Linked DNA regions of Schizosaccharomyces pombe. The protein of the gene in region 2 purifies or fractionates together with the protein of the main gene of each other region. This does not show direct contact. Each region holds a gene or a part of one and is shown on either strand. Other genes may lie near its edges. The genes, in order: dps1 and dlp1.

Region 1 (10,985 bases), on a different chromosome or scaffold from region 2:
CTAGTTCAACTTCGGAAACGTACGCTCGAAGCTCGGAAATGGTCTCGTTAATGTTTTCGTCACATGCAAGCATTGTAATTATCTTTAGTTTCTCCATTTTAATATAAAGAGGATCATTATATTTGCAGAAAAAAACCCGAGTTTTGACATCAAAAATAGAAGGCCTCTTTTGTAATATTAAATTAATGTTCCGTAAGGCTACATACTGGATTTCTGAGTCCGTAGAAAGTAGCGTCAAAAGAGGAGGAGCCATTTTTTTGTACAGAAAGTCTGTAAAGTCACTGGAAAAGAGAGGGATATGTACCATTATGACTTTCACAGCGGACAAAACGACACCACTATTTGCATGTTGGAATTGAGGAACCACCCTTTCACAAACATATTCAGCTTCCTTGATATCAGAAGTGCGAAATCTAGCTAAAGAATTCAAAATAGTAATCCGACCCCACTCATTACACTCACTCAAAGCAACCATTAGCCTGTCTGTCATCGTGTAAACTACATTAAAATATCCCTTTTCAGGGTCCTGATCATGAATTTCAGCAAGTGAGCGGACTGCATTAGCCACAACCACAGGATTCGGATCAGATACCAACGCCTGCAATTGTTCGATGAAACCATTTGATGCACAGTATTCTCGATCAAGGTCATACATCTTTACAACACAAACCGCTGCAGCCTTACGAACATAGGGATGCTCATCCTTCAAAGCTTTTCGCAACGGATCTGCCAAATAGCCAATGATTTTATTTACCCGAATGCAACCCATAGTTCTAATTGCCAGAGCTCGTAAAGTAGGATTATATTCCTCAGAATCCTTTACAAAAGTATTAACGGCTAAAATACAAAGATCAGGGTGTGTTTTGGCATAGTTAATTAGATATAAATAAACCAGTTTTTTCAAGGTGATATCGCGAGTAGCTAGGTTCTTTAAAACATCGGGAAACAGACTAGACACATCCTTGCCAACAGTCATTGCGGCAATAGTCCGTTTCACAGCATCAATTCTCTCGTAGGCATACTGAGAAACTAGTCCCTTTTGTAATTCACTTGTTTCGCTTTTTTTAAATGCCTTAAAACGGCTCGATTGAAACAACTTTGGAACCATTCGGTACTATTGTATAATTCCGCTCTTTATGTAGCTCTTTTAAAGGTGGTAAACGTCCTAAGGTCAAAAACACGTTTACATATATAAAGCAGTGGTTCAATAATCATGTCAAGTCAAACCCATTCGGTGAGAAACACCCACTCCCAGAAGTAACAAAGGTGACAATATCGAATACTGAAATCCAATTTCTATATATTCATGATTTCATTTTCAACCTGCAATGCTTTAAACGCTACTATTATGACCTTTAAATAAATTTTAAAACATTTAATTCAGTATACAAACAAGAGGTTGAAATGTTATTTCAATAAAAGCTATAAGTTAATTGCCGTAAAAATGCGATTCAAGTAAAGCAATACCCTTTTCCAAACATTAAATAACTAATAATTATTGTTCAAAATTGGAGAATAGTGAAGGGAAAAAAAGTAGCCCAATAGGTTGAGGCTGTATGTAAACGAAATAAATATGACGATAAATGGAAAAAATAAAATAAAGAGAATTGATGGAAAATACAAAAGGGGAGCATTTGTAAAAGGCGCTGTCAAGTCGGCTATGATTTAAAATGTCGTTTATAGCGATAGTCAAATCACGAATACATTTTAGTTGTTGTAGGAAAGACGAAAATAAAATGAAGGTAAACAGAAATTAAAATTCGTAATAAGCCAAGTTTATGCAAAAGAAAGTTATTGAAACCACATGAAAATCAGCATCCACGATTCAATCCCTAAATGCACGGTAATTCTCATAATATCCAGAAAAACGATACCCAAATGATTCGTTAAGAAACATTAAAGGATAAAATTAAAAAGAGAGAAAGGAAGTTTGAATAAATTAAAGGATACCCTGCCTTTTTGATGCAAAAGAATATATGATTTCTTGAAAATATTAAAGGTAGAATACTCTACAAAGTTGTTTTAACGTTGCGAACCAAATTGTTTATTCCACTCTTCGTAACGATGAATACCCTCTTGTGAGACACTTGGACGAATAGTACGAAGGCTAGCTTTAAAATGATTCAAGCTGATCGGAGGTATCATCTCTGCACTGGTGGTAAGTAGAGCATCACCCAAGTTTCTTAAAGGACCCATTGCTGCGTCTTTGGCTAAAGCAGTGATATCAGAGCCTGAATAACCTAGATGGCGTTAGTTAACTAACCAATCGAATTATTTATATACATACCTTCGGTAAGATTGACAAGTTCTTCCAGATCCTCCTCCGTCAAACAGTGTACTTGATTATGAAGCAAATGAGAAAGATGTTTATATCTTGTTTCTTTTTCAGGTAACGGAATATAGGTTCTTTTAACGAATCGGCGTCGAGCAGCCTCATCAATACACCACGGAAGATTTGTAGCTGCCAGCACCAAAACACGGGGAGAGTGACCAGTTTGCTTGTCCGGAGCCGCATTAGTTAACGAAGACCATTGAATTAAAAATTCTGTTTTTAATCTACGAGAGCTCTCGTGCTCATTACCGCTGTCATTACGAGCGGAAAGAATGGAATCAATTTCATCAACAAAGATAACGCTACATGTCTGGCGCTTCGCAACTTCAAAAAGGGCTCGAACCAACTTTTCAGAATCACCAAGCTAAATCAAGGTTAGTTAAGAATGGGGTTAAATATAAAACTTGCTTACATATTTCGAGGTTAATGATGAAGCCGAAATCGAAAAAAATGTGGCTTTCGCTTCGGTCGCAACAGCACGAGCAAGCATGGTTTTGCCGGTGCCAGGGGGGCCAAAAAGAAGCATGCCTTGTACGGGTTCACGCAATCCTTGGAAAAGTTCCGGGCGTAAAAACGGATAAATGACTGCCTCTTTCAAGGAATTTTTAGCGTCATCTAATCCGGCAATGTCCGACCAGTAGACAGGTTCATGGTTAGAAATAATTTCATTCATAATAGCATATTCAAAATCACTTGAAGGAGTGGTCTGTTGAAGAGGTTCAGTTTGTTGAGTAGTACTAGCTGAGATAGTTTTTGACACAATTGTCTTAGAATCAGCGGTTGCCGGAGGAGATGTAGCAGGTGATCCGGCTGTGTCAGCGGAAGACGGTCGAGTGGAAGAACCAAGGGTATCATGAGAAGAGTTTAAGTATGGTTTATATGGGCTAGGATGCTTGCGCGATTTTCCATCGCTGGATGAATGCGATGCAGACGTAAGGGGGACGGCAGGAACATGGAGTGGAGGAATTGGCGCATGGAAGGAGAGGGGAGTGCTATTGTTAGCATTTTGATTGTTTGACACCTGAATAGAAGGGCTAGATACCGAATTGGAAAGCGTCGGTTTAGTCGTAGACTGACTTTTCATAGCGGTAGGAAAAGTGGTGGAATTCATGGTAGCAGAACGACCTGTATCAGAAGAAAGAGCAGAAGCAGAAGCGGCAGCACTCTTAGAAGCAGCAGCAATGGCCGAAGCAGAAGAATTGAAAGAGGCAAAGGGATCTTCGGGTTTGAGGGGTGGAGAACGGTTTGGCTTAGAGGGTGCCAGATAAGAAGGTGCATCTCCATAGGAAGAAGAAACAATGGATGAAGTGGAGGTAGAAGGAGGCGAATGCTTGGAATATATTTGCTTAGGCGTAGATAAATTTACCTCCGACTGCGCACCTCTCGTCTGTCTGTACATCATCCTAGTAGTCATGGGGGTATACGCAGGTGTTTGAGATCTTACTGGACGTAAGGGGTGAAGATCAACGGGCGCCTTCTTTGAAAGTTTGGCTGCAAGTTGATAATTTTGCCTTTCCATTTCACTTTCCAAAATCGTCTTACGCAGCTTGCTTGCCTTGCTCAAACAGTTGTCATAGAGCCCGTTCCAAGAACATGCCTCTGCGCCCGTCAAAGGTCCCAATCCCATGCGATCGCGAGCTGCCGACGACTTCTTCATCTCCTCTAAAACCTTGCAGTAACTCACATACGCACCAGCCCAATCCCTATTTCCTTCACACAATAATGCTCTTGATGCTATCGGTAGTATTCTATCCAAGTCTGAGTCCATTTTCCGCAGTCGACTCGTCAATGGCTTTTTTGCTTTTGGCAAGTTCAAATGTCAAAAGTGCTGTCTTGTCGTTAAAAATCCCATAGAATGTTCGAAGTAACGCTGTTACTTTTCAGCCACTGGTTTTCTTTCATCTCTTCAAAAGCTATTTGATAAGGAATTCGTATTGGAGAAAATCATTTTATTCATAGATTCAATAGATGAGTAAATATCTTTCTTTCACACTCTTTTTTTTTTCCCGCTAATTCGCAAATCCGGAAATTTGTTTACAACAAAAAACGTATTATTAACGATATTAATCATTTCATCGCTATGCTAGTAGTGTGGATTAGAGAGCACTTTAAAATCGAGCGCCTTCGACTGGCTGAAAAACAGAAGCCAAGCGGTTTTCGATGAGAACAAATTTGCGAAAATTTAAGTATCTTTTGATATACCTACAAATTCTAAAAAAAATTTCTCTAGTTGAACTTAACGCTCAAATAGAGCTTTTTTTAAGAATACTTGAGGCCCGGGAGATGTAAACAGATCAGCTATGTCTGAAAGGAACGGGATGGCACTTAATGTTGATAAATTTTTTATTTTTTAAATTCTTGAAGTGAATGGTGAAAAAAGTCGGGCGCCTAATCGTTAAAAGCCTTCAAAAGTCAAAATGTGATAAAACAAATATGAATGTAACGTTTTGTACTACAATGACAATAATCTTAGCAGGCGAATCGTTTTGTAGACTAGAAAAGTACGTAATTTATTTTTATTAAATGATCCTACAAATACTAAAACTTGTAAAAATGCTTTTAAGCAATTTCTGATCAATTAAAATTTCACGCATGTCAAACCATTTAGAAATGTTTATGTTGTTAAAGCAGTGTTACAAAGCTATTAAAATACCTAAAAAATATCAACAATGTATTCGTAAATTCCTAGAACCAATAATTGTTCAAGTAAGATGAGAAACTCTTGGAAGATCAACACATATAGAGGATTCCCTGAAGCTGTTATATTAACTTCGCCAAAAAAAAATTAGTTGTAGTATAAGATTCATTTACTTATCTAAATATTCTGCTTTTGAGTATTCAACCAAGTAGCACTTCTCCCATCGAATATTGAAGCAATTTGGAAGTATAAATTGTTTTGATTATTGTGTCGTATAAAAAATGATACACGGGAGAGATGCATATGCAAATAGATCTGTGAATTTTATTGTTAACTGATTTGATGTATAAGCTGTTGTAAGTTTTGATAATGAATTTGGCCTCTGAGGAAGATGCTCAATATCCTGCTTGACTCAACAGAATTCTTCAGAAAAAATACTTAAGATCAGAATGGTATGAAGAAAAAACGATAATTAAAAAATGTTTTGTTTGTTTACAAACTATTTAATGATTCTTCCGTTCTTTGAAATAAACTTATCTGATCAAAGCGACGTCATATCTAAGCGAAATCACGGTAAATACCATGATATACAAACCATCCCAACTCTAACTTCATCATTTAGTTACTTTTGAAAATAAGAAATGAAATGATTCAGTATGTATATTTAAAACATATGAGGAAATTATGGAGTCTTGGAAAAGTCCGTTCGACTGTTCTTCGGTTTTCTACTACGAACCGCAATGCTTCACATTTAATTAAAAACGAGTTGGAACAAATCTCACCAGGGATTCGTCAAATGCTGAATTCAAATTCAGAATTTCTTGAAGAGTGTTCTAAATATTATACCATTGCTCAAGGAAAACAAATGCGTCCTTCTCTTGTTTTGCTGATGTCCAAAGCTACAAGCTTGTGCCATGGTATTGATCGGTCCGTAGTGGGCGACAAATATATTGATGATGATGATTTAAGATCATTTTCGACGGGTCAAATTCTTCCTTCTCAATTGAGATTAGCACAAATAACCGAGATGATCCATATAGCAAGTTTGCTGCATGACGATGTGATTGATCACGCTAATGTCCGTAGAGGCTCACCTTCAAGCAATGTTGCTTTCGGTAATCGACGGTCAATCCTTGCGGGTAATTTCATCCTTGCACGGGCTTCGACTGCTATGGCCCGCCTTCGAAATCCCCAAGTTACGGAGTTGTTAGCTACAGTGATAGCAGACTTGGTTCGAGGTGAGTTTTTGCAGCTAAAAAATACTATGGATCCTTCATCTTTGGAAATAAAACAATCAAATTTTGACTATTATATTGAAAAAAGTTTTTTGAAAACAGCCAGTTTAATTTCCAAAAGCTGCAAGGCTTCTACAATCCTCGGACAATGTTCTCCTACTGTAGCAACAGCTGCTGGAGAATACGGTCGATGCATTGGTACTGCTTTTCAACTAATGGATGACGTGTTGGACTATACGTCGAAAGATGATACTTTAGGAAAGGCGGCTGGTGCAGATTTGAAGCTAGGGTTGGCTACAGCTCCCGTCCTCTTTGCATGGAAAAAGTATCCAGAACTTGGTGCAATGATTGTGAATAGATTCAATCATCCTTCTGATATCCAACGGGTAAGAGAAGCTGAAGTTTTATTTATTTATTTGATTTCCTTTTCTCTATCGTTAATTTTCAATTGCTAACATATAATTTAGGCTCGTTCTTTGGTTGAGTGCACTGATGCTATCGAGCAAACCATCACTTGGGCAAAAGAATATATCAAAAAAGCCAAAGATTCCCTTCTGTGTCTCCCTGATTCACCTGCAAGGAAGGCACTTTTTGCGTTGGCTGATAAAGTAATAACGAGAAAGAAGTGACGAGTTTAGTACGCTGCATCTTTAACTATTAGATAAAGGCCTCTTTTTCTTATTCTCGAAAAATTTAAAACAATTAGGTTTAATTATATATACGACTTTGGTAGACCGAGTTGAATTACCGCTCTTAATAGAGCAGTGAAAATATTACTAATATGCGCTGCCTTGATTGGTTTTTCTTCCATAAATGATTTCAGGTTATTACAAAGTGAACGACAACTGCCAACGAATGCAATGATTTTATAACGACATTGCAAGCCACTAATGATACTGTCTATAAAAATTGGACTTCAATAAATAAACCAAGCACTTCGTAATAACTATTCTTGACTAGTGTTATAGTCTTTGTGATCTCGCTGCTCAAATGTCAGATGCTGATTTTGGCTCCAATTTTCTGTTTACGTTATAACAACTATCATGTAAGTTTGTCCATTACTTATATCTGGTGAAAAAGGCTGCATAACTATGGTAATACTTTTTGTCAGATCTAAAATTAGGAATCAGATTTTATCCGGTAGCTTGCTGTGCTTTCCCTGGACTGCAAAATTATTTTCACCTGTATTCTTTTACTATACCTTTTTGATAGCCTATAAACGTTGAGCGTTGAGCTTTTAAACTTACCAAAACTACAGGGCCTTCCTTCTTTCCCCAATGCTCGAATGAACTTTCGTTAGTATCAACGTTTCCTTTTGTTTAGTACCCCTATAACAATATATATAACGACCTTCTTTTTGAATAAACCATAGCAAAAGCTAAAAGTTTGGATGTATTAATGAACATTGTACACCTCAGTCAAACAACAGTAATTTGACTATTAGATGATGATCGTAATTACTATGTTAACATATATCTGATGCCTCAAAAGTGCAAGAAAATGAATAAATTTCAAATTAGTAAATAATTGACTATCGGAAATACTTAACAATATATAGATCCAGTTTTTGGTTCAAATAATTAATATTATTATTAATAATATAATCGTGAATTGCATCCTGTTGCTAGTTTAAAGCCCTTTGTTACCACAATGAAGTTTAAATGGGTTTAAAAAATCCTTAAAAAAATAGATTTTATTGATCATCATGCAATGTCATTAGAGTAAAAAGTACGGACGAATGTATATTTTTTTTATTTACCATAATTTGGTACACTTTGATATACTAATGTAGGTACAGTGCTTTCAAGAAGAGCTCAAGTAACAATGTCAGTGGTTACCTACTAATTATATTTTTTCCATTAACAGAACCATCTAATAGCAAACCTTTTTGAATGTCAGTTTAATTCAATATACATGTATGTGAATTTTGTGCTCATAATTAAACATATTAAACATAATAAATAACTAATCTCGAAAATTCAAACATCCGCAATACAATTACAAAGTTTAAAACACGCTGATAAAAAACTTCTTAAATGAATCCTGTATCCGTAAAGGGTCAATGTTTTATTCTAGAAGCCCACATCCGCTTAATCGTCTATCCAAAATTTTTGGAACGGGTTAAGCTTTAAGCAGTTAAACTTGCTCATAAACTAAAAATTTATCTCTCTCATATAAACGCTTTGGATTTTGGTATTATTGTGAGATGCCAGAGTCACTTAAGCTTGTTTAATCAAATTATTGCTACGCTTTGTCGTAAGGGAATATGTTCGATGGATGATTGCTACTCCCAACATTTATCCAATATGTTTTATCTCTTCTGATTTACTCATGCGATATTGCAAGATAATCGGCCTATATTCTGTAAGCATATTACATGCTTCGTTATAGCCGATTCTTACCGGTGATGTTTCAGATCTTCATGGGCTTCTAGGCCGTAGTTGTAGCGATACATTGTCAACTTGTTCCGTCGGGACATAATGGAAATCAATGATGAGGCTGGCTCAAAACTATGTTTTTTTAAATAGAAAAGTGTATAATTTTCCTGGGTGATTTATTTTTTTTTGGCGTTTCTTTTTTTGGGAGAGTTGGCTTTTGAGTGTAGAATACTCCAGTTTAACTTGGCCATTTATTCTGTCGCTTGGATCATAGTGATACCTTTAATCAGCTTAAACTTCATTCATTTTCTATATTTAGATATTCACTGCTCTGAGCAGATTAACTCATTGGTATTCTCTGTTCCTTATTTCGGTAAATTCTAAGCTCATTTCAGCTCCCACATTGCTCAGGGATTTCGCTTGAGATCTGATATATACAAAGAGTTATACTTAGCGAACATTCACCCATTACACGTATTTGATCGTTTGTATTTACTCTTTGTTGTTCGTCGTCGCCAATCGGTTTCATGAATATATTTTGAAAACAAACTTTCTTGCCTAATCAAAGGATCAACCGATCTGTGCCAACTTTAATGGTGTCTAAGAATGGTCGAAAAAACTTCACCGATTTTAATAACCCTTTGTATATTTTTGTTAATTCCAATATCAAGTGCTCTTCCTTTTCAGACTTTCGAGGAAAGCCTGAAATTGAAAAGTAATATTTCGCATACTGGATCTTTTTTCGCTAATCTTTCGCAATCATATTCTTCAACTAGCATAATACATTCAGTGAGTTCTCCTGTTGATTGCTCTTTGGACGTTAATAACCAAATTAATACTATTAATATCACCTCAGTTTCAGCTGGGACTAATGAATTGTTTTTACCTACTTTATCCCATGCTCACGCTAATGACCGGGAAGCATCTCTTTTTTTTCCATACACAGACATAAGATATAACGGCTTCCCAGAACCCTCCAATACGGACAGTACGAGCATATTATCCTTTAATACCATTCGTTTAATCCCGTCCACTAATGTCATAAACACTTCACATTATAAAGGTTTTAATCGCTATCCAACGATATCATCAACAGTCAAAGTAGGTAAACGCGCAGCGACCGCTTCATTCTCCTATACCAACGTTTCGTCTTCCGTAATAGCGACAGCGTATACTTCTGCTTCTTCAACAATTTTATCTTCGCCATCAGTTGAACAATCTACTCCAAGTATCATTACTCAAACTGAAAGCTCTACAACTACTGAAGGCAGCAGTGTCGCTTCTTCTGAAAGTACTATTGCCAATTCCGATCAGTCATCTTTTATAACGTATGAATCGACTCAAAATCCCACTGCGAATAAAACGGACGCATCGCAACAAAGTACAGAGTCGACAAGTAGTTCTGCAAGTGCCTATTCGTATATCACAACACTTCAGACAGCCACAACAGCTCAACAAACCACTTCTGAAAATACCTACTCAACCTCCGGACCCAACTTGACAACATCAAACACTTCACCCCAAATTTCTAGCACCATCTCCTCAAGCTCTTTCATAGTTGAAAGCCCATCCGTCGCGCTAAGTACATCATCCACAACCACAATAACAAATGCATCAACACCCGCAGCCAACACTATAATCAGCAGAAGCTCAAAGCCAACCGATACGACCAACAGCATATCGTTCGCAAACACTACTCCCGAAAACACATCCACACAAATTACTAGTCCAACTGCTGTGAACAGTTCTACACCAATTACTAGTTCTAGTGTTCTGAACAGTTCCACACCAATTACTAGTTCTAGTATTCTTAACACATCCACACCAATTACTAGTTCTAGTGTTCTGAACAGTTCCACACCAATTACTAGTTCTAGTATTCTGAACAGTTCCACACCAATTACTAGTTCAACTGTTCTGAACAGTTCTACACCAATTACTAGTTCAACTGCTTTGAACACATCCACACCAATTACTAGTTCTAGTGTTCTGAACAGTTCCACACCAATTACTAGTTCTAGTGTTCTCAATAGTTCCACACCAATTACTAGTTCAACTGTTGTGAACACATCCACACCAATTACTAGTTCAACTGTTGTGAATAGTTCTACACCAATTACTAGTTCAACTGCTTTGAACACATCCACACCAATTACTAGTTCTAGTGTTCTGAACAGTTCCACACCAATTACTAGTTCAACTGCTTTGAACACATCCACATCAATTACTAGTTCTAGTGTTCTGAATAGTTCCACACCAATTACTAGTTCAACTGTTGTGAACACATCCACACCAATTACTAGTTCTAGTGTTCTGAACAGTTCCACACCAATTACTAGTTCAACTGTTGTGAACACATCCACACCAATTACTAGATATAGTGTTCTGAATAGTTCCACACC
Region 2 (10,985 bases):
AACAGATGATGTTTGATGTATTCTAGATGGCCTTTCATTTTCTAGAGCAGGAACCAATCGATCATATCAACTTTACTAAATTTCTCCAAGACTGGGGAAGTCATAACGAAAAAGAGATGGAAGCTTTACAACGTTTATCAAAACACAAAATACGAAAGAGGCTAATTTATGTTTCTCAGCATAAGAAAAAAATGCCATGGTCTAAATTCAATAGTGTGCTCAGTCGATACATACAGTGTACAAAGCTACAACTAGAGGTATTCTGCGACTATGATTTCAAACAAAGAGAGATTGTTAAAATGCTTACCTCAAACATTAATTAGTATCGAATAACGATAAGCTCTTTATATTAATAAATTTTTGGTATCTTTAAATTCCTGGAGGGGTCAAAAGTCTAAAACTAATGCTTTTAAATTCAATGACTCAAGCAAAGGATAATGAGGAAAAATATGATTTATATTGAAGCGTTAAAATTCGTAAAAGAAAGACATATTTGTTACGATTGCACGAGCATGCATGAGCCACCCTAATATTAATCCAGGATACAATACCTGTCGATTACTTCGAAACACTATTAGCGATTTCCATGAGAGCTTGCTTAGCCTCTATATCGGGGAAAACAGACAATGAGCTCTTGGCATTCTCAACATATGTTTTCAAAATGTCATTATTCTTTTGCAAAACTTGGGCGTCAGGAGATACAGGCTTATGGGCCAGTTGCAGCGATAAGCCTAGAAATTTTCCATAATTGAAACACGCATCATTAATGTATTGTGATGAGTTATTCAATATGCTTGCGCATAAACATGCCTTTGCTGGCATAAAGGCTGATTGCAGAAGGATGGTTCGTTCGTTTGACAAACCAACAGAGCCATTTTGTCGGCTTCCGAAGTGCCCTTCAACTAAGTTTGCAATAACAGAAGCCATAATTTCTGTAATAGCGTTGTTTTCTAAATGTGCTAAATCAACAGACGCCTTTCCGAGTAAATAATCTCCAACCAACGTTGCAAGTTTAATCTGTTCGTTGCTTTGTTCTTCTCCAATATTAATATGAATTATATTGGCAGCATGAATCAATTCTGTTACACGGGCAAGTTGTTTGTACCTTTGAAATAGTTGCTGACTCGGTGGATCCCCATTTACTGATGCTCTAGACATTAGAAGTACAAGAAGCGGATGAAAAAAACGAGTTGAAGATTTTCTGTATGGCTTCGTAATTTCATCTAATAAAGGATTATTATCTGTCCACGTATTAATTTGACCATTTAAAGAATCCATTTCTTCTGTAAGCATTTTTAATAAGTCAGAATGCCAACGGGAATCTCGTGATAAAACCCCTACAGCTTTTAGCAGAATGGAAGACCAGGAACCAGGTTTTTTTAAAGATAATAGAGAGCTTATTGCAGAAGGCCTTTTCAGCAAACTAGCGAACGGAAAGCTCATCCTTCATACAATAAGTGATGATTTCACACTTGAGTAAAAAGATGACAAAGGCCTTGTAGAGGTATAGTAGGGTATCAGTAATTTACAACGCTAATGAAACGAGAGACAAAAAATAGTGGGATGCTTTGATTGCTACTATGTTTTCATTTTTGGAGTTCTTTAACTACGCCTGTGTCTTGTCAGTTTTAGCTAATTATTTCAAAGTCACAGGTTACCTCAGGAAGAGTCAGAATAGTAAGTTCAAGGTAGTAAAAAAACAGAATATACAAGTAGTAAAGGTAGCATTAGTCAAAGTGTGTGTTTCTATTAAATGTTTTACTGAAGTTAATTTGTTATCAACCCGTGAATATATAAGGATTTTTCTATAGATTTTTTTAAGGTAAACACTGTTCAAATGAAGTTTCGAATCAAAGAGTACATTCAACAATAACTACCGATATATGGAGAAAACAATTAGCCAAAAAAACTTAAATATTGTAGGAAATGAAATTGCATTTATTTCTTGCATAACGTAAAGTTGAATCAAGCTGATTTGTTAAACCAACAAGCAAAAGGAGTAGCAGTGAATTTTAAATTCCCCTTGAACGAAGGATTGATCTCACAGCATTCAGCTGAAAGGAACCCCATTCCAAGACATCGTTGCGTAAGTCATTTAAGGCTTTTGCATGTTGAATGCGATGTTGAACAAAGTTATAAGTCGCCTCAAAATTAGGAGAAGTATCACGACTCATAAATAACTCAGATGCAGAGTAAATGGCAGAGATAGCAGCACGTTTCGTGTACCATTGAAAATCGGCTGACTTATCTTGCGCGAGGTAAAGAATCTCATCTGACAGTTCAGCCAGAGAGGATAATGATTTTCGCAAGTTTGAAGGGTATGTACAAATTGCAATCATCTGCGGAAGATGCTGAACAATATCCCTATTTCCTTGCAGACGAGACCAAATAAGCTGGACAACACGTCCAGATGTTTCGGGGATAGTGGTCAAATGAGGCTTTAATGAACTAAGAGCGTAGCGCTGCTTCAGGAAAAAGTACGAAATCAAATCCATTGGACCAGAAGGAAAGAGGGCCTTGGAGAGATTACTATAGCCAAGGGCCTGACCACCTTGCACGATTGCATCTTCCGTGAACCCCAGTTGAGGAACATGTTCAAGAGCATTTTCTAAAATTAAAGCCTTCTTTCCGGATATCTTAGAGGTTTCGTAATTTTCACTATGATAGCCTCTCCTTCCTAGAGCGGAAATGACCGTTTTGGAGATGCATTTATGAAGTCCCAGGTTTTTTGTTGTCAACTGACAAGCACTTCTTAAAGTCAACATGTAAAGAAATAAAAAAAAGAGTCAGAAAAATAAACAAAATAGAAAGAAAGGGTCTTTCACTAAGCAATTCGAAGGAAAGAGATATGGGTAAAGAGGTGTTACGAGTTATTCAAATCAGCGAGTTAGATAAAGTATATAGTAAGATTGGAAGATGACTTCTAAAAATAATTATAATATTTGAAGTATATTAAATTGTGAGAACTGCAAAGTAAACGAACTGATAGAGTGCGTGACGGATGCTACTGTAGAAGGAAAGCGAAATCGCTACTCAATAACTGTGCTACCCACCTGAAAGTACAAAGAGTCGTTCTGACAATAATTTGTGTGACAATAGCAAATAATTTTCAAACAGATAAATTGAAAATAAAAATAGGGTGATATTAAGCTAGACGGTGTGTTTGAGAGGCGGTCTTAATCCTTGCTCGATAAAAACAGAAGATACTTCAAAATACTTGGCTCGTAATGTCGCCTCCACCAGCAGAATCTCATATGTATGTTCCCCGAATGCCAGAAAAGCTTCAAGACACTTATGTACACTATGCAAGGGCTATTCGCTAACTAGATTTTGCTTACAGCATTTTATTAATACAACAAGGAGTATGTCATTAGATTGTAGGATAATTAAAGATTTCACTAACTCCTAATCAGTCGGATCCAAAAACTCGTATATGGAGCGACCATTGCAGCTTGCGTTCTGCTATTGAGTGTATGAATATTATCTTTCGTCCTCCTTGTAGAGGATGCGCTACTTATTGGAAATCATTTGTTAACGTGATATTAGATATAGTCGGTGTTTACCAAACAAATCAAGGTACGTACGATTTTTGTTTTTCTTTTTTGGTTGGAAATTTCAGTGACGATGAACTATGTTTTCCCAAGTCCCGGATTGAAAACTCAGCTTTACCGTATGAAAACTTGCATTAGACTGACGTTTATGTTTAGCAGTCAGCGAAAAGGAATCTATTGATGTCTCAAGGTTTTTCAACTTTTTCGACGAGATCTATGATTGCGTTCCTTTGGTATACGATCGGCATTTTCGTGCATATAGTAAGCAGTTTCTCTCATTTATCAGTTTGATTTTGATACTAATAAATTCTACTATTAGTTCCCCATGAAAAGCAATGGTTGTTACACCATGCTCAAGAATATCTCACAGCTGCTAGACAGATCCCTTAAAAATATCGAACACCATATTATGCTACTCATTGCTATGCTTTAAATTTCAAAATCAAAGAAAAAATAGAACTAAGTTTTTCTAAATTAAAATCTTTATCAATGCACTAGGAATGGCATTTTAGCAGCTGCTTTTCACCTTTGGAATCAGCAACCAATATTCTAAGAGGTTCAAATTCTATTGTATCATGCATTAGCTATATTCTATCTTTAACAATTATTTTTCTATTCTTTTTTTATAAAATTTAATTGTTCTAATAAATGGCATTTGTCTCTTAACTTTTAAACCCAATTGCAAATTTTTTTTTTACTTGTCATGTTTTTTCCTCGTGCAAGACAAAGGACCAATTCCATCCGTTTTGCCAGCCGCTATTGTATTGTTTTGCCCTTTTTTTTAATTTCCAGTGCTGGGAAACTGTAAAACAAACAGCATAGCCACTTCTAAGCCCTCGTTTGAAGTAGTCAAACCGGAAGAAACAAACTTTTGTACTTGCTAGACACTCGATCTTTGCTGACATTTCTTTATATATATATATTTATTTATAGTTTTTTTTTGTATCGCTTTCATCTTCGCCCTCGCTCCTTCCAGTTTTGCTACACATTATAAGGTATATATATCATGTCGGTATACTTGCCGAGCAACGTTCTCGGGTTATAGAAGAATAGCCCTAGTATAGTGGAGCTAAATCACATAATGTTGTGTATTTTGACCCATTTTTGTCACGGAAACCGCTTGGCCAGTTACTTTTTCAATTCGTACCAGGACGAATTAGTCACAATAAAGCGAATGCATATTCATTGTTTCACAAACTAGCAATACAAGATAATTGTCTAGGCATTATAGATTTGCTACCTTGAGTTTTGTGTACTTTGCTTCTCAATTTTACTCTCCAAAGATAAATATCCATTGCTTCTGCAAAGAGTTAGTCAAGTACTTGATGACTGCAAAACAATTAATAACAAGAGCGTGTTTTTATATTTTATACTGTCTGTTTAAGGTTTAATTGAATCCAATAATTCAACTAAGAATAACTTGATCCACATGTTTACCTTTCTTTTTGTTTAATAAATATTATCAGATGTGATTTTCCTGTTTGCTAACTGCAAGCGAAGCTACTTTTTTCATTATATTTCGTTATTAGCGTATAAAGACATTGTAAAGTATTTGCAGCGATATCTAAGGAGGATTGCGAAGGGGCTTAGAACATGATGATTCATGCGAGGCGTCTGCGTCACGCTTCTGGACTTATGCTTAACCCTTCATATATATAGCGATTGTTGCCTGCCGCTTACTTTTCTCCTTAACCAAGCACACATTAACGCCATCGAACCCTAGAACCAGTAAAGTGATCTGAAGAGGGAAAAGCAGCAAAACGATCGTAAATACGTTTGTTTAAGAATTTGCTACTTTTTGTGGTTTTCTGTCTAGTTATTTATTGCGATATCCACATTGCCTTTAGTGCTTGTAATCACACTGTAAGACGTGAGGCTTCGCAATCGACATTGAGTTAAATACATTCTTTTTCTCATTGTTTATTTTTCTTTTTAATCTATCCATATAGCTCATTTTGCCTAACAGTTATCTGATTTGGCTAATTTGCAATTTCTTTTTTAATCCAGTACATACAGATTTGTATCTATCAATTGATTGTTTGAGAAGTTCGGTCTATTTGGTTAGCTTGTTGTACGAATATTTCATTTCCTTTTGTTTCTCTCCTTTCTATACTGTACATTGAAACAAGATGTTAATGAAACAAACCTTCTTGTACTTTTTGCTCACTTGCGTCGTATCCGCTCAGTTTAACGGTTATGTTCCTCCTGAGCAAAATGGTGGTGATATCGTCGTTCCCAAAGATTTTTACGAGAAATTTGGGGAGGATTTCATCCGTGAGCAAGAGGAAAGCTCTGCTCCTCTTATGAATCCCGTTCCCGAGCGTGATGAAGCTGAGGCTCCTCATCACCCCAAGGGTCATCACGAGTTTAATGATGACTTTGAAGATGATACTGCCTTAGAACACCCTGGATTTAAAGACAAGCTTGACTCTTTCCTTCAGCCTGCTCGTGATTTCCTTCACACCGTTTCTGATCGTCTCGACAATATCTTTGACGATGATGAGGATGAACACGTTCGCGAGAAGCGCCCTCATGACTCAGCTGATGAGGATGCTCCCCGCAGAAAGCACGGTAAATGCAAAGGAAAAGGAAAGCACCATAAGGGTAAACATGCTAAGGGAAAGGGAAAGAAGTCTCACCCTAAACCCGAGGATGACTCTGTTTTCTTTGATGACGAGCGTCCCAAGCATCATGAATTTGACGATGAGGATCGAGAGTTCCCTGCTCATCACGAGCCTGGTGAGCACATGCCTCCTCCTCCTATGCACCACAAGCCCGGTGAGCACATGCCTCCTCCTCCTATGCACCACGAACCTGGAGAGCACATGCCTCCTCCTCCTATGCACCACGAACCTGGAGAGCACATGCCTCCTCCTCCTATGCACCACGAACCTGGAGAGCACATGCCTCCTCCTCCTATGCACCACGAACCTGGAGAGCACATGCCTCCTCCTCCTATGCATCACGAGCCTGGAGAGCACATGCCTCCTCCTCCTATGCACCACGAACCTGGAGAGCACATGCCTCCTCCTCCTATGCACCACGAACCTGGAGAGCACATGCCTCCTCCTCCTATGCATCACGAGCCTGGAGAGCACATGCCTCCTCCTCCTATGCATCACGAGCCTGGAGAGCACATGCCTCCTCCTCCTTTCAAACACCATGAGCTTGAGGAGCATGAAGGTCCTGAGCATCATCGTGGACCTGAGGACAAGGAACACCATAAGGGACCCAAGGATAAGGAGCACCATAAGGGACCTAAGGATAAGGAGCACCATAAGGGACCTAAGGATAAGGAGCACCATAAGGGACCTAAGGATAAGGAGCACCACAAGGGACCTAAGGACAAGGAGCACCACAAGGGACCTAAGGACAAGGAGCACCATCAAGGACCTAAGGAGAAGCACAACGAACGTCCTGAGCAAAACATGCAAAGTTCTCATGAGCTTTTGGTCATTGAGGCTTTCGCTGACCTCATCAATTCTGTTCCTGTTGAAGAAATTGCCGAAGAGTTTTCTCGCTTTTTAGACACTCTTGGTATTGAATACTATGGTAACATTCCTGTACATATTCAAGAAAATGCCCCAAAGGATTCATCAATTCCCCCCCTATTTGAATTCGACGATGATTTGGAGTTGAGTGATCTCACTCCTGAACAATTTGCCTACCTTGAAATGCTCAAGGCTGAAGGTATTGATCCTATGACTGCTTTCCGTGACCAGAGTCATCCTGCTAAGCCATCTAATGCTCAACCTGCTGATTCTTCACGTCCCTACGCTGTTTTTTCACAAGAAGAGAATGGTGAACATGTAAATTTAAAGGCTTTCCCTGATCACACTCTTCGCGTTAAAGATTCCAAACCTGAATCACTTGGTATTGACACTGTTAAGCAATACACCGGTTACTTAGATGTCGAAGATGACAGACATCTTTTCTTCTGGTTCTTTGAATCTAGAAATGATCCCGAGAATGATCCCGTCGTGTTGTGGTTGAACGGTGGTCCTGGTTGCTCTTCCCTTACTGGTTTGTTCATGGAATTAGGTCCTTCTTCAATCAACATTGAGACTCTTAAACCCGAATATAACCCTCACAGTTGGAACTCCAATGCTTCAGTTATCTTTTTGGATCAACCTATCAACACGGGTTTCAGCAACGGAGATGACTCGGTTCTTGACACTGTTACGGCTGGTAAGGATGTTTATGCATTCTTGAACCTTTTCTTTGCCAAGTTCCCTCAGTACGCTCATTTGGACTTTCACATTGCTGGTGAATCCTATGCTGGCCATTACATCCCCCAGTTTGCCAAGGAAATTATGGAGCATAACCAAGGTGCTAACTTCTTTGTTGCCAGCGGCTATGAAATGGAGAAGCAATACATCAATTTGAAGAGTGTCTTGATTGGAAATGGTTTGACTGATCCTTTGGTCCAATACTACTTTTACGGAAAAATGGCTTGCGAGAGCCCTTACGGTCCTATTATGTCCCAAGAGGAATGTGATCGCATTACTGGTGCCTATGATACCTGCGCTAAGCTAATCACTGGCTGTTACCAGACTGGCTTTACTCCTGTTTGCATTGGTGCCTCTTTGTATTGCAATAACGCTATGATTGGACCATTTACTAAGACTGGACTCAACATTTATGATATTCGTGAAGAATGCCGTGACCAAGAGCACTTATGCTACCCCGAAACCGGTGCAATTGAGAGTTACTTGAACCAAGAATTTGTTCAAGAAGCTTTGGGAGTTGAATACGATTACAAGGGATGCAATACTGAAGTAAACATTGGTTTCCTTTTCAAGGGTGACTGGATGCGTAAGACTTTCCGTGACGATGTCACCGCAATCTTAGAAGCTGGCCTACCCGTTCTTATCTATGCCGGTGATGCTGACTACATTTGCAATTACATGGGCAATGAAGCTTGGACCGACGCACTTGAGTGGGCTGGTCAACGTGAGTTTTATGAGGCCGAATTGAAGCCTTGGAGTCCTAATGGAAAGGAAGCTGGTCGTGGTAAGTCTTTCAAAAACTTTGGTTATCTTCGCCTCTACGAAGCTGGACACATGGTTCCTTTCAACCAACCCGAAGCTAGTTTAGAAATGTTGAACAGCTGGATAGATGGTTCTCTTTTTGCTTAAAGTGTCATCAGTTGGACATTTTACATCTACTGAATAGTTGATATGAACCGAATATGACTGACTATTGGCTAATATACAGTAGCCATAATTAATCTTTGCGTTTTATTAATTAAATTGATTTTAATATTTGAAAGATATAATGATGAATTACATAAATATTTGTTTTTGTAGTAGTAGTAAGTAACGCTGTTGGAAAACTTTTCACTGTAAGTATTTCTTCAATTCTCGCGGTTTGTGTCGTAATAGTAACAACATAGTTATAATTCCCGACCAATATTACTACGCCGATAATTACTGCATACAAAAATTTTTGGTTTAAGATGTAAACAGTCGATTGTAATTGAAATAGATTGTCCATAACTAAGTGCTTCGTAATAAAAATTATCTTGATCACATAAAAGTATTACTCATCCATGTGCTTCATAAATGTACGCTTGTGATGTTGAACACCTAAGGTACCAAGTTCGTCAATGTCAGCCTTGTCTAGAGTGAAAGAATCAAAATTCAAGCACTCCTTCATACGCTCAATTTTTGAGGTAGTAGTGATAGGTATAACGCCTTTAGAATAGGCCCACTTGAGAAGAATTTGAGTATCAGAAACATGGTACTTGCTCTCCAATGATTTAGTGAATTCAGCAACAGGACCTTGCGCATCACGAACCAAGGGAGAAAGAGGGCCATAACCCTCAACGATAATTCCTTTACTCTGGCAAAATTCTACAAGAGGCTTCGCGGCCTTGTATACTTGAGGGTGAAATTCGATTTGGTTGACACGAGGAGTAATAGTTGAAGTTTTCAACAGCTCCTCTAAGTCGGGAATACGAAAGTTAGAAACACCAACTGAGTGGACAAGACCGGTTCCCAAAGCCGTTTCCATTGCTTTCCAACCTTCAGAAATGGGTATTTTCTTTTCATAGAAAGGAATAGGACTATGCAAAAGGTACAGGTCCAAATAGTCAGTACCAAGCTTACGTAAAGATTCGTTGAGGGCTTCAGGAATGTTATCGACATTATGCATAACCTTGGAAGTAATAAAGAGTTTGCTTCTTGGAACATTAGCTTCCTTCAAAGCCACCCCAACTTCCTCTTCGTTGCCATATACTTCCGCGCAGTCGATATGAATGAAACCAGCAGCAAGTGCATTCTTTACCGAATCTACAATGGTTCGATTGATTTCTCCCTTTTCTTTCTTAAACAAAGCTGTACCAACCCCATAAGCAGGGACGGGAATCTTAGGGCCCATAGCAGCGATAAGCATGTTGAAAATGTTAAGAGTACGAAAGAACTTGAAAGTAGAAAAAGAGTAAGCTACAAAGAGGCGCTACTTTAAAAGTTGCAGGATAAAAATTGTTAAATAGAAATGAATGGAATAAACGTTAAACCGAGATTTTTGCAAGCAAAAGAAAAGAGAATCGCAGCAAGAATTAATAAATTTCTTCTTTAAAAATGCTCTGTTTAGGTGAAAAGAGTGCGAGAAAGGGCCGTATATCGCTATTTATATAGATTTCCAAAAACTTAGTCAGATGACATCAGCCAAGTCTGGCTTGGCATACAGAATATCTGACTGACGTTGTGCAGCATCTAAGAGAGGAGTCTTTGGAACTTTAAAATGAAGAATTATCTGATCAGATAAGGAACAAACGTGTAACCAAAAGCAGATTTGTTCCAACTAAACAGTGTAAGTTGAATAGAAAACAGTTTTACAGGCAAGAATAAGTTGAACGTTAGATTCGGTATTTAATTGATTTAGCAATATTCAATTCTTGAATGAATCCCTCTGTTTTAGCTGCGAGGATTATCTTCACCACCAGATGAGTTGGCGGTTTTTACAGCATATTCTTACCTATAATGTTAATAAATGTAAGGTAGTTACCATTAAGCTGTAGCGTTATAATAGCAATGCTTTAATCATAAACAATGCTTACTCAGTTTTGCTAGATCATTTTTTACTATAGTCTTTATCGGCAAGAAATTGAGGAAACTCCTTCAAGGCATGATGATCGTAATCATTTAAGAAGTCTTTGACATGTATTATGCATCTAAATGTCAGAGGTTGAGAAAAAAACAAATAAACAAATCTGAAAGTGTCAGGAAAATGACTTGGCAATAATTCAAGCTTATTCATGTTAACCAACGTCAATAGTAATGGTTAATAACTCGACGTCCGCTTAACAAACACTAGGGTAAATTTACCTGCAACTTGTAATTGAGGAATTCTAAACGCATTCCCCACAAGCTAGTTTCTGTTAACAAATATTTTTATAGATTTTGTCTAAAATCTATTTTCTGGTTAAAT

The links.
Region 1: the proteins of dlp1 (region 2) and dps1 purify together in Schizosaccharomyces pombe (affinity purification with western blotting, with the first as the bait; one study listed by BioGRID). This does not show direct contact.

What each region holds. Positions count from the first base shown.
Region 1 is NC_003423.3:678,527-689,511, forward strand, and holds dps1 (decaprenyl diphosphate synthase subunit Dps1), read left to right. Parts: upstream 1-5,590; 5' UTR 5,591-5,616; coding exon 5,617-6,591; exon of another isoform or gene 6,592-6,672; coding exon 6,673-6,834; 3' UTR 6,835-7,156; downstream 7,157-10,985. Other genes in the region: AP-1 adaptor complex beta subunit Apl2, read right to left, coding at 1-1,108; knk1 (AAA family ATPase), read right to left, coding at 2,023-2,240, 2,288-2,696, 2,745-4,100; SPOM_SPBPJ4664.02 (glycoprotein), read left to right, coding at 9,190-10,985. UniProt on the Schizosaccharomyces pombe protein: Supplies decaprenyl diphosphate, the precursor for the side chain of the isoprenoid quinones ubiquinone-10.
Region 2 is NC_003424.3:4,059,214-4,070,198, reverse strand, and holds dlp1 (decaprenyl diphosphate synthase subunit 2 Dlp1), read right to left. Parts: upstream 1,601-10,985; 5' UTR 1,444-1,600; coding exon 559-1,443; 3' UTR 324-558; downstream 1-323. Other genes in the region: protein Poz1, read left to right, coding at 27-323; ubiquinone biosynthesis protein Coq9, read right to left, coding at 2,013-2,765; protein erh1, read left to right, coding at 3,228-3,256, 3,341-3,362, 3,414-3,471, 3,547-3,576, 3,708-3,812, 3,871-3,941; cpy1 (vacuolar carboxypeptidase Y), read left to right, coding at 5,681-8,689; SPOM_SPAC19G12.09 (NADH/NADPH-dependent indole-3-acetaldehyde reductase AKR3C2), read right to left, coding at 9,093-9,947. UniProt on the Schizosaccharomyces pombe protein: Supplies decaprenyl diphosphate, the precursor for the side chain of the isoprenoid quinones ubiquinone-10.